Schizosaccharomyces pombe: one gene and its partners. The protein of the gene in region 3 interacts with the protein of the main gene of each other region in a biochemical or structural test. Each region holds a gene or a part of one and is shown on either strand. Other genes may lie near its edges. The genes, in order: ubi4, mts4 and rhp23.

The links.
Region 1: the proteins of rhp23 (region 3) and ubi4 form a complex in vitro, tested with the Schizosaccharomyces pombe proteins (3 studies listed by BioGRID).
Region 2: the proteins of rhp23 (region 3) and mts4 form a complex in vitro, tested with the Schizosaccharomyces pombe proteins (one study listed by BioGRID).

Annotation. Positions count from the first base shown.
Region 1 is NC_003423.3:1,043,771-1,047,237, forward strand, and holds ubi4 (protein modifier, ubiquitin), read right to left. Parts: upstream 1,823-3,467; 5' UTR 1,797-1,822; coding exon 648-1,796; 3' UTR 501-647; downstream 1-500. Other genes in the region: ecm14 (carboxypeptidase), read right to left, coding at 1-189.
Region 2 is NC_003423.3:2,850,619-2,856,114, forward strand, and holds mts4 (19S proteasome regulatory subunit Rpn1/Mts4), read right to left. Parts: upstream 3,485-5,496; 5' UTR 3,435-3,484; coding exon 3,297-3,434; exon of another isoform or gene 3,250-3,296; coding exon 712-3,249; 3' UTR 503-711; downstream 1-502. Other genes in the region: morphogenesis protein Mor2, read right to left, coding at 4,032-5,496. UniProt on the Schizosaccharomyces pombe protein: Acts as a regulatory subunit of the 26 proteasome which is involved in the ATP-dependent degradation of ubiquitinated proteins.
Region 3 is NC_003423.3:2,985,253-2,988,993, reverse strand, and holds rhp23 (UV excision repair protein rhp23), read right to left. Parts: upstream 2,066-3,741; 5' UTR 2,031-2,065; coding exon 1,962-2,030; intron 1,926-1,961; exon of another isoform or gene 1,922-1,925; coding exon 1,849-1,921; exon of another isoform or gene 1,808-1,848; coding exon 966-1,807; exon of another isoform or gene 919-965; coding exon 850-918; exon of another isoform or gene 798-849; coding exon 744-797; 3' UTR 505-743; downstream 1-504. Other genes in the region: telomerase regulator Est1, read right to left, coding at 1-27, 69-320; nucleosome assembly protein Nap2, read left to right, coding at 3,146-3,741. UniProt on the Schizosaccharomyces pombe protein: Involved in postreplication repair of UV-damaged DNA. Postreplication repair functions in gap-filling of a daughter strand on replication of damaged DNA.

The DNA of each region.
Region 1 (3,467 bases), 1.9 Mb from region 3:
CTGTTCTTCTGATATGGCCGCAGTCTCGCCATTAAACCCAACGTAACTGGTCATCCAAGATCGAATATCTGAATTCCATTTCACTCCAAGTTCTCTAGAACTTTTTCCGTAGCAAAGGAATAATACAAATACGATCTGAGAAGCCAAAAGGATAAATACTAAAGACTTTAGAGATTTATTGTAAGCCATGAGTTAGAAAGAGCAGTCTTCAGTGACATGGAAAAAGGAGATATAGAATAATTAAGATATTCCCTTTAGAAAAGCGTCGAAATAAATAAATTAAGTAACGCTTGTTCGGTATAATTAATAAGAAGAATATAGCTTGGCGCTTCGCCCAGCTTTGATTATCTACGTAAGGGACGACAACAGTTTAACGCTGAAATTAGCTACTACTCAACGAAATTTAACCTCTTCCCTAATCAAACGCTATAACACTTTACATCGGTGAAATCAGGTCTCACTATTGCCTATAAATACAAACATGGATCGCACATTAAGAATATACTAAATTAAGTCAATAATATTATACCAACATAAATAAAGCAAAAAGCTATAGTATATTGCTATAATGCATTGTATAGTTATGGATAACTAAATCAGCCAATTGAAAAAACGTTAAAGTTGAACTAGTCAATTACAAAGGATGATTAAAAAAGACCGCCACGAAGACGAAGAACAAGGTGAAGAGTAGACTCCTTTTGAATGTTGTAATCTGAAAGAGTACGTCCATCTTCAAGTTGCTTACCAGCAAAAATAAGACGTTGTTGATCAGGAGGAATGCCTTCCTTATCCTGAATCTTGCTCTTTACGTTATCAATGGTGTCAGAAGACTCAACTTCCAATGTAATGGTTTTACCAGTCAAGGTTTTGACAAAAATTTGCATACCGCCACGAAGACGAAGAACAAGATGTAGAGTAGACTCCTTTTGAATGTTGTAATCTGAAAGAGTACGTCCGTCTTCAAGTTGCTTACCAGCAAAAATAAGACGTTGTTGATCAGGAGGAATGCCTTCCTTATCCTGAATCTTGCTCTTTACGTTATCAATGGTGTCAGAAGACTCAACTTCCAATGTAATGGTTTTACCAGTCAAGGTTTTGACAAAAATTTGCATACCGCCACGAAGACGAAGAACAAGGTGAAGAGTAGACTCCTTTTGAATGTTGTAATCTGAAAGAGTACGTCCGTCTTCAAGTTGCTTACCAGCAAAAATAAGACGTTGTTGATCAGGAGGAATGCCTTCCTTATCCTGAATCTTGCTCTTTACGTTATCAATGGTGTCAGAAGACTCAACTTCCAATGTAATGGTTTTACCAGTCAAGGTTTTGACAAAAATTTGCATACCGCCACGAAGACGAAGAACAAGATGTAGAGTAGACTCCTTTTGAATGTTGTAATCTGAAAGAGTACGTCCATCTTCAAGTTGCTTACCAGCAAAAATAAGACGTTGTTGATCAGGAGGAATGCCTTCCTTATCCTGAATCTTGCTCTTTACGTTATCAATGGTGTCAGAAGACTCAACTTCCAATGTAATGGTTTTACCAGTCAAGGTTTTGACAAAAATTTGCATACCGCCACGAAGACGAAGAACAAGGTGAAGAGTAGACTCCTTTTGAATGTTGTAATCTGAAAGAGTACGTCCATCTTCAAGTTGCTTACCAGCAAAAATAAGACGTTGTTGATCAGGAGGAATGCCTTCCTTATCCTGAATCTTGCTCTTTACATTGTCAATGGTATCGGAAGATTCAACTTCCAATGTAATAGTCTTTCCAGTTAATGTCTTGACGAAAATCTGCATGGTAGAGATTGTGTGTGTACAAATGCAAAGTAATGAAGGGGGGAAGCCACCTTTATATAGACGTCGCCACTGCTCCTCATTTTTCACTCATTCATAAAATCAAAATTTAAATACAATCTCCAATACGATAGTTTTTTCTAAATACATTTATGTATAGAAATTGAAGCATATGCACTCAAATTTTTGTTGTGTTTATAAATATACATTGCATCGATTCGTTCGTATGCCATGTTGTCTACTGTGTACGCAACAAAGATTCCTAGACGATATGATGTCACCTCGGTGTCAAAATTAGTCAGTGACCAAAAAAATACAGGAATCCCCCTTATCGCAATGTGAAATGGTGTCTGCAATTCAAACATATCGATCATTAACGTGGCTTTGCAAAACGACTAGTACGAGAGGAAACGATGCAACAGTACAAAATGAAATAGGATAAATATCTGTTTACGCACAGACACTTTGGGAGACATATTTCTAGTGCATAGGTAGTTGGGTAGCTGTTGATAAATCCATGTCAAATAAGCATATTGTTGTACTTTAAAACGAACGAATAAAAAGTAAACATGTCTTAAAAGATAAGATGCTTGGTACGAATAGGAAAGATAACGACTAACTTCTATCAGCAGAGTTACTGTCCATTTCAGTGTAGATGTGTCGCTACAAAGGAGGAATTAACATTTTTCTAGTCCTAGGCCGTTCAAATAGATATCCACAATTTGAAGAACAATTAAACAACATTATCTTTTCCAATTTCAATATTTGAATGAAATTTGCTCATAAATGTGCTTTCCTTTGTGGTTGAATGAGAAAATAATGACAAGACTATAAAATCATGTGCGATTTAAAAGACGAAAATAAAAAAAAAGTCGACAATACGAACGATTATTAAAAATCGTTTTACATCCTTAAAGTATTGTTTATCATCATTAGAAGCATAATCCGAAAGATACCATGGTCTACGATATATGTGCTCTTTGTAAATTTTGATGTTTATACTTTTTTTTGATGTGGGTCAGGTTTGTGACTGGGAATTTGGAGTAAGCTGCGCTCATGCTTCTTAGCGATAATTAGCATAGTTTAATGCTTTTTTAATGAATAATTTATATAGATGTTAGGTTTTAAAACGCAGATTTCTTATTCATATGGAATTCTACTAATTTCTTATGTAGCACACGGAGTATAATATATTTTGCTAATCAATAAGTTAACCGCCAACCTGAAATATTAGAATACTCATCTACTTTGAGCTGTTCCAGGTTACAATTGTACAAGTAGTATCAACCCATCCCTAGTATTTACATAAGTGTTTCCGTACAAACGGTGGGTTACTTACAATAAGATCATTAAAATAATTAATTCTCCTGATTATGGTTCTAAGGTTACTTGGATTTTTGAAAACTCTACTATCAAGTTATGTAAATTAAAAATAGTAAAGCCGGTACTTAATAAAAGTATACATTCTTGCCATTTTTTGGACAGCAATTCGGCTATGTATATTTGATCCTTGGTAGAATCCTTTCGTGTTTTTACTAAGATATACGAAAATATAAGTAGACGAGGATCTCTTACTACCTTTCTAATTGCTAATGTGCTAAGTCAGCCCCAGTTATCACAATCGTACAATGTCAACAATTCACCGGGACGTTACTTATGCAATAACCTAGTTGT
Region 2 (5,496 bases), 130 kb from region 3:
ACATTTCTATCAATTCAAATACGAGCGTCATTCCATTTTTTCACATAACGAAATGAATGCACAACTTACCTGTGGAAATGAATTAACGATGAGCAGACTTTGGGACTGCATATGATGAAACATAATAACAATTCAAGATAATATTTGAAATTAAATAAAGCTATTCACCGTTATTCCCTAAATGCGAAGTATCTAATGTGCAGTTTTACCTTTAATGTAATGGTTAGGTATTGAAACAGTAGTAGAAACGTGACATAAGGGATGCGTCGCAAAGCAGTCAACTCCTTTGTCGGATTATCAGAAGATGATTAAAATTCATTCTTTGATAATTGCATTAAGCTCCAACGCAGGTCTAAATTTTTTTTACTAAGAAATGGTAGCTCCTTAGTTCGGGCAATTTTTATCCAACAAGACGTTTCTGCAGTGGACGTTCTATTACCTTTTGGTAACGCGACAAATACAAAAAAAAAGAAACAGAAATTATAATCCTAATTACAAATTTGCAATCATGTATATATACTTTCCGCTACTTCAATTTAGAACAATACTAGAACATTTCTAATCTAAAAAATACGAATTTAACATAATCGAAATAGAAAAATAAATGTATCGGGCGCTGAATTTCAACAATCCAGTTTGTTTTATTAATAGCAAAGAACTGGAAATCAAGCATTAGTACATAAAAATTGTAGTCATTTAACTTCAAGTCATTTAAGCGGTCATTTCAATGTCCTCCGTATTTTTTTTTAAAATAACAATACCTTCCAACGAAGTCAAAGGTGTATATGCTTCCGTCGCTAGTTCAGCTCGCTCATTGTGATGCAACAAAACTGGTGTAGTATGTGTGACCCAACCCGTAATGACCTTGGGACGACCAGCTTGACCGACCACATCTACTGCTTGACCAACTCGAACGCTTACTGGTAAATATTGACCGTCCTCACCAAGGGTAATGAGCATTCGGGGTCGTATTGCTAACGTAATAGCATAAAGCAACCAATGCGAGGTATCAAGGACAAAGGTATTTGCATCTAGCATAGCTAATACAACAGTCATAAGACCAGCAAAAGCAGTTTGACCAAGAATCTGCCGTTCTGTATGATAAGGGTTAAGCGTCATTGTTCCTTTTCCTAAGTAAAGTAAACCTTGAGCGATACGAACCATGAATAGAGCGTTGGATTCTTTGTGATAATAACTGGCTAGTTGGCGGAGTAATTGAGCCAAACGCGCATTACTAGTACCAGCACCAACAAGACCCATTGCAAAGATTGCGTTGTAAGCAACATCCAAATCATTATCGTGACTATAGCGTGAAAGCGTGTCAAATATACGCATTTGAGGATTGGAAGCGGAAAGCAATCCTAATGCAAGTGGTATAGCTTTTCGAATAGAGGGTTCGCCATAATGCATCATGTGATCGAAATGTCTCAAAACCATTTCTGCTCCAATATCTTCACCCATAGCTATAGTAGCAACACCAAGTGCTGCAAATGTCTGGATAGTAGTCTCACTCTCCTTAGCATCATCACTGGGAGGTTCACTACAGATATGAAGCAATTTTTGGATGTGAAGAACGTTGCCAGTTCCAGCATACGAGCAAATATCCACCAAAATTTCAGCTTGTCGTGCAATTTTACCCTCAATAGCTTTCAGTGTTTCGACTGTAGCATCCGCAAGGTCTTGTTTACCATTAAAAAGAAGGGCAAGGCCAAGAGCCATAAAACGGCCCCATTGATCATTTTGGGCAGACTCTTCACGCTCCATTAGAGTTTGTAAAATTGTGCTAGCTACATCGCCGTTGCAAGTACCAACAAAAATAAGACCTAAAGATAATGCGGCTAAGCAGGATAATTGCATAGGGCAATCGGTATCCGTAACAATTGGAGATAACATGTCGAGTAAATCTTCGCGATTAGCTCCACTGTATGCAAGTCCTAAACCTAAAATCGCTGATGCACGAAGCTTTACGGAGCCAGTTTCAAGGTATTCAGAAAGAATTGCCATAGCTGGATCAGCTTCATTTCTTACTGCAACATTTGTAACACCAATTCCCAACAATGCACCAGCCTTGGTATTCTCCTCAGAAGAGTATAAATACTTATCCAACAAAGACAATCCCATGTCAACATTCCATAATTGTAATAGGCCAATAGAAGCTGTAGCACTTATTAAACCAGATTCTTTATTTTTATAAATCCAAGACGTTTTTTCGTCATCGACCAAAATTAATCTGTCGTTACTGTATCCGGCATTGACAAGGGCATTGACAAAAGTGTTAGCTAAATTTTGTTTGGCGGAATACACTCCTGATGCACCCAATCCAGTCCTAGCCACTTCTAAATGTGTTTTAAAGATATCTTCCGGAACTTTAGGATCCATAAGGTTCAACTCCTTTCCTAGATAATGAAAGTGATCAGATAAATGAGTGTTATTTAAAGCATCGTTTAACTCCTCGTCTCCCATATCCATAGGTATTTGCTGACGAGCAAGCATGTAAGACATTTGCTTTTTCAACAAGGGATCCGTAGCAGCTTCACAGTCTTCTTTTATCAAAGACATATCATCAAGGCGGATAGCAACGTTAAGTGCTTGTGTAAGCTGGTCAAACTTCCGATAAATAGCATGCGCTGTTCTTAACATGGCGACATCTTCAGGAAATGGCAAAAGATTAACGCAACTGGTAATATAAAGACAAACGCGAGAAGCATTATCAAGTTCTACGAAGGGTACAACTTTTTCAATAGCACCCAATTCTTGTAATAAATCAATAGCATCAGCCTCAGCATTATGAGTAAGGAAGAATGGAACAATGGTCAATGCAAGTTCCATAAGATCGTCGGTTGGCGCTTCCTCTTCCTGGCGACTGGCAAACTCTTCTTCTATTTCGGAAGCCAAATGGCGAACATACTCATGACCCCATAAAGAAGGATCAGTGGTAACGCCCTGAAGACGATATTTTAATGATTCATGTTTGCTTGTATTACTATAGGACATTCCTAATACTGAAAGGATATCAGCAAGTTGAGTCTTCTGAGGGCTTTGCGGCCAGGAATCATAGATTTTAACGAGAGTAAAATAATGTGGTCTAAGAAACTTCAAAGGCTTTGGAACGGCCGTCATAGAGGAGGTAGAAGTACGAATTATTTCTTTAAGCTGAGTGAGACTGGAACCCACCAACTCAGGGGTGGCATCTTGAACAGCTTGAACTAATAATTCCAAATCATTTTTTAATTGTAAATCTTCTTCAGACTATTTGGTTAGTTTTCATTTTGAAAAATAATAGGGCTTTAACTTACTAAATCCTCTAATTCATCCCTTTCTTTGGTATTGTTCGTTGAGTTTCTGTCATTAGTTTCTGAAGTCTTTGTCCCTTTTTTGTCATTTAATGCATCATTACCACTCGGGGACTTCGAACTAATGTCTTTAGAACTCATTTTCTAGATTCCTAAGATTTTCTGAAACTGAGTAGTAATGTGTTGTCGTTGAAACTACTCTCACCCTAGTCAGAACCAGTATACCGATTGTTTACGTATTTGATTATTTATCACGTTAATTAGATTTAACAACACGCTATGCTTTCTTTATGGATCAGTACAAATGAAAAAATAATCTATTATTTAAGTTCGTCAATGTATTACCATTATTACACGATGCTTGACATTATTATCTCATGCCTCTTTTCTTATAAGAATTGTTGTAAAATAACTCGTTATTGATTGACTCTTTATGTTTTCATTTGTTTAAATACGGACATATGAAACCGATTTATATCACTACACCTAATTACCATAGTTATAGCTTGATTTTTAATAACATGACACGCTCTAAGATTTTGAATTCTAAAATTAAAGGCTGTAATGGTCAAAGAATTTTCGAGTTTAAATTAACAAAAAAATGCAAATGATAAAATAATGAAAACAAACGAATAGTTTTATATAGTACATCCATAAACGTTGCCGACTAATTTTCCATCTTACACACATGAACACCATAAAAGCTTGTATAAGTATACTAAACCAGTATAGGCAAATTCAATGCCAACCGCGGGATCGAGTTGTATCAGTAAAAGATTCATTGCTTTCACTTCCTTGAAACATTGTACGTAAATGATAATAATTTTCATGAGTTTCATGGTCTTCCACTGAATCTTCATTAATCATAGAAACAGATTGATCTAACATGGAATTCCAATTTTTATTTTGTTTCAATTCTGCTGCACCTCGTATTTCGTCCAAAGATAAACGATGTTCCGCCGAATTACCAAGTGCCTTTAAAGAAGGATAATAAGATTCAGCATCCATAAAGTAATGAGGTTTTAATTTAGAGATAAAAGACGACTTTCTTACTCTCACCGGCGGCATGTCCATCGGCAATTTTGCTGATGCATCAATTTCTTCGTTCGGTGAATAATCTCTGAAGGATTCTGTTTCATAAGCCATAAGACCTTGTTTCTGCCGTCTAAGGCTACCTGAAAGAATCGTAGCTATCCGATCGTCATAATCTTCCGATGTAATATCTAATTTTGGATCAACGGCGACATCAGGCTGAATTAACTCTTCATCCCTATCTTCAGCGAAGAAGACATCGAGGCTATGAAGAGTTGTAACTAGCTCTCCTAGTGAATTTTCGTCAAGCGAACCATGACTGTCAGTAGGAACGTGTCGCGGATAATTGGATACTTCATCAGCATGAAATCTAACCTCTGGCGTACTCACAGAAGCCTCGGTAGTGGAACAGCTATAAAATACGGCATGTACGTTGCTTTTAGTTATAGCAGCTGCATATTCAGAGTTTGGTTCATACCATCCATCCTCGTCAGGTATTTCAAAAAATCCAGCCAGACGATCATCTGAATTTTTTAATTTAGGGTCAACCATTAATAACTTTAAGGTTTGCATATCTGTGGGAGCAGATACATGAAGCACTGAGTCGGTTAGCAAAGACAACGCTTCCATTGCATAACCAGTAGGTAAGAGTCGAAGAAGCGGTGAAACAATACCTAATCCATGTTCGGAATATATAGGTTTTTGGAAATCAATTAATGGAAAGAGTTCTTTTAACACATCTAACGTAGACTTTCTAAACCAAGTCAAATTATTTGATAGAAACATCGTAAGAGTACTAACAATTTCTAGCTCGTAATCTTCAAAATAATAGGAGTATAGGTATGAAACCGTATGTTTTAAAAAATCCTTAATTGACCTGAATTTACGTTTGAGATATGTGTCAAGAAGCTCAATCAATGCATCATCGTTAAATTGTGAAGCAAGAGTAGCTAATTTATGACAGAAAACACTTAAATCAAAAGTAATAGGATCTGAATGCTCGTATGTATATACCATCGCTGGTAATGACACCAACAAGCAGGATAGTATCCTCAAATAACCAACGCCAACCAAATCATTATCCTTGAAATCCATCAGCAAAAGGAAAAAATTCATGGTAATTTCAAAAGAATTAGTTGAACGGAAACCTTTTAATATTAAAATCTGAAGA
Region 3 (3,741 bases):
TTTTTCAACAACGTGTCGAGGATGTATCTTAAAATTAATAATTGTCCCATACTTTAGTTTTTACTCACCTCTCTAAACCTACTTCTAAAATGTTGAATAATTTTATAATGGCAACATGACCATATAATATCTGGACGTTCAAAAGTATTTGTTTGAATACTTTTTAGACGATTTAACAGTTTCTTCTCAACTTCAATTTCAATTGCTATAATTTTCTCATATAAATCATGCTTAAAACCTCCTTGAGCTGCTTCACACAGCGCTTTGACGAGCTTTCCCTGCTCTTCACAAATTTCATTACTTGAAAGTTGTTGCGACATTAATTATAATATCGTCACATTTTAAGAAAAATATAAAAAATTATCAAAAACGTATTTCTGCAGCGTTGAGCGTGGAAATTAGACCACTTAAGTCACTTGACTTCTTCCTACTTGATATCTTATGCAAAAACCCTAAGCGTAATGACAATTCAGTATTAGAGAAAGAAAAATATGGTTCTATCAAATAAAATAGTAGGGAAAAAAAATATATATATGTATATATATAATATTTACATGTACGACAAATGATTGAAAACAACTTATGTGCTGTGCTCGGAGCAACCCTGTACTCAACAATTACAAAAATATCATTGTTTTGTTTAATATTCCGTATCCTTAACTAAATGCTAGCAATAAAGAGCTGAATTAGTTGCCATTTAGGCGTTTTTCAAGCGAAAAGCAATAATTTATAAGGTGCGCGCTTTAAGGTTCATCCTCAGATTCATGTCCATGCTCGAAAAGGTAATTAGCAGCAAGCTACAATTGTTAGTTGATAATTCAATAAATCAAAAAAAAAAAAAAAACACACCTCTTCATTTTTATCACAAGCTAAATAAGCCTGAATTACAATGTTTCTGTCGAAGCCAAGTTGACATAACTAAAAGCTTGTTAGATAGTTAAAACAAAAAAATAGAAATAACATACTCTATCAATACTCTCAGATTCTTCTTGAGTAATTTGAATCTGAATTCCACCAGAAGGTAAGGCAGACTCGCCTTCGGCACCCTCCGCCAATAATTGCAAAAATGCTTCAGGATTTTGCGTAATAGCTTGAGCCAATGCAGGATCTCCCTGCCCAATTTGTTGCAATATAGTTTCCAACATCTGTGGATTTTGTTGAACAATTTGTCTTAGCTGTTGAAATTGAGGAATGCTACGAAGGAAGCCTAGAGGGTCATCACCAACGGTATTAGAAGGTTGTTCTTGATTTTCATTTTCTGATAAAGCAGCTTGTTCAAAAAGATTCGCTGGCTGGCCAGTGGAAGTAGGAGCAAGGGCTTCGCTTTGCTGTTGCTGAGCAGCAAGGGCTGCAGCACTCTCTTCTCTCTGTCGATTGAGAATGTCTTCGGGAATACCAGTTAATAAGTATTCCACTGCCCGATCAGGGTTGTTAAAAGCGGCACGCATGGCTCTTTCAACTTCGCTGCGTTCGTATCCCATTTCTACCATATTTTCGACAGCAACATTTCGTTGAGCACCAACTGCCAATGTGTTGGCGTCTATTGGTGCTTCACTAGTGGCAGTAGTATCTGGGTTTGAAGGGGCAGCAGCAGCAACAGTTTGTGTAGTAGAGGTAGATTCCGCCACGGTAGAAGAAGGAGCTTCAACTTTCTTTTCAGGTACGGAAGCCGGAGGATTGGGGGCAGGACTGGCAGCTGATTTCGGAGTAGAGGTGGAAGTTTTGGGTCGTGAAACCATGCATACAATGAAATCCTGTTCTTTTATATTGTATTCGCCAACAGTTTTGTCATCAGCAAGGATTCGACCTATAAATTAGTATTTTACATATTAAAATTATGTTATATACCTGAGTAAATTAACTTTTGACGTTCGACTTCATAATTCTGTTGCGTTTGAATTTTTTCTTTTAATTCTGAAATCTGTTTACGTTAGAAAAATAATATGCCACAATTATCATACTTTGGTATCTGCAGAAACATCAGAAATAACAAATTTCTGCTGCTGTAGATTTTTGAATGTCAAATTCATTTTCAAAGCAAATTTGGCGTAGTGGGTAAATGTATAGTAATGAAAACCTCTTTGAAAAAACGTTGCATCAGAGAATAATTGTCAAGGTAGCAAACAAACACCATACACAAGTAACATTATTTGGTATCATCGCATTGTTTATCATAAAATGTGAATGAAAAATCTAAAAAGCAAAACAGTTTGGTTTATTTGAACCTAAAATTTAATGTAAGAAAATATTTCATTTGTTTGAAAGTGTTGTGAGTGAAACATTTACCTCGTTTCCAAGTCCATTAGTACTCAATACAGTGTATTAGTTTATTCTTTATTCTTTAATTTACTATATATATATATATTTTTCTGTTGGATTATTCATTCTCATTTTCTATTTATTTACAGAACGATCGCTAATAAATTTATATATATTAATTATGATTTGTTTATTTAAGTTAGCAATGACCGTTACAATAGCAGATTTTTATTTACAAGTTTGACTTTTGAATTATGTTCCGATAGTTTTTCGCTCCTCCGTGGGCAACTAACTAGTAAACAAATGCTACAATAAGGTTGTTTAACTCATGAATATAGAAGTATATGATACGTAGAGTTGTTTATTAATCAGTATCCATATATATATATTTTTTATAGAATTTTCAACTAATAATTGGGATACGATACATATGTTAAACTAATATGAATAGCGTAGACACTTTGCTTAAACGAGATATATACATTTGTTTATTTCATTGATTTTTTTTTTAGCTATTTGGACAGCTACATCAGAATTTGAAAGCAGCGCCTTTGGTTTATACAATCCATTACCTTTGTCAGAGAAAGTATAAGGAAAGCGGAGAGAAAAAAGTCAACGTATATGTAAACTTCCGGATGCTTTCTAATTTTACATATTCTTCCAAATAAAACCCCAAATACTATCCCAAACTATGATAGCCGCTAAACACATAAATATATTTCATTAAAGACTCTCATACGAAAAATGCTGTAAACATATCATTAAAATATGCTAAGCTGCAATAACGAGTCAGGCCCAACATCTCTTTGGTAGACTTCACGAAGATCCACAGTCCAACAACGAAGCTTTACCAATTTAATTTAATCTCCGTTTGCATTATTAAAATATGTCTAAAGGTCCAGGAGATTTTAAGAAGTCTTGGAATGGGTTTGCTGCTCAAACGCCACAAAATACTCCATCTTCAGATGTACATCTTAGTAAGGCCGCATTAGAAAAAGCTAGACAAACCTTGCAATCACAACTGGAGGACAAATCAGCACATGATGAAGTTAGCGGGTTATTGCGCAACAATCCGGCCATGTTATCAATGATTGAGGGACGCCTTAGCTCGTTGGTTGGAAAGTCGTCGGGATATATAGAGAGCCTTGCGCCAGCAGTCCAAAATCGTATTACAGCATTGAAAGGCCTTCAAAAAGATTGTGATGCAATTCAATATGAATTTCGTCAAAAAATGTTAGATCTGGAAACAAAATACGAGAAAAAATATCAACCTATTTTCTCTAGAAGAGCCGAAATTATCAAGGGTGTTTCTGAACCAGTGGACGACGAATTAGATCACGAGGAAGAAATATTTCAAAATAATCTTCCAGATCCTAAGGGAATTCCCGAATTTTGGCTGACTTGTCTTCATAATGTTTTCTTGGTTGGCGAAATGATAACACCAGAAGATGAAAATGTCTTGCGATCACTCAGCGACATTCG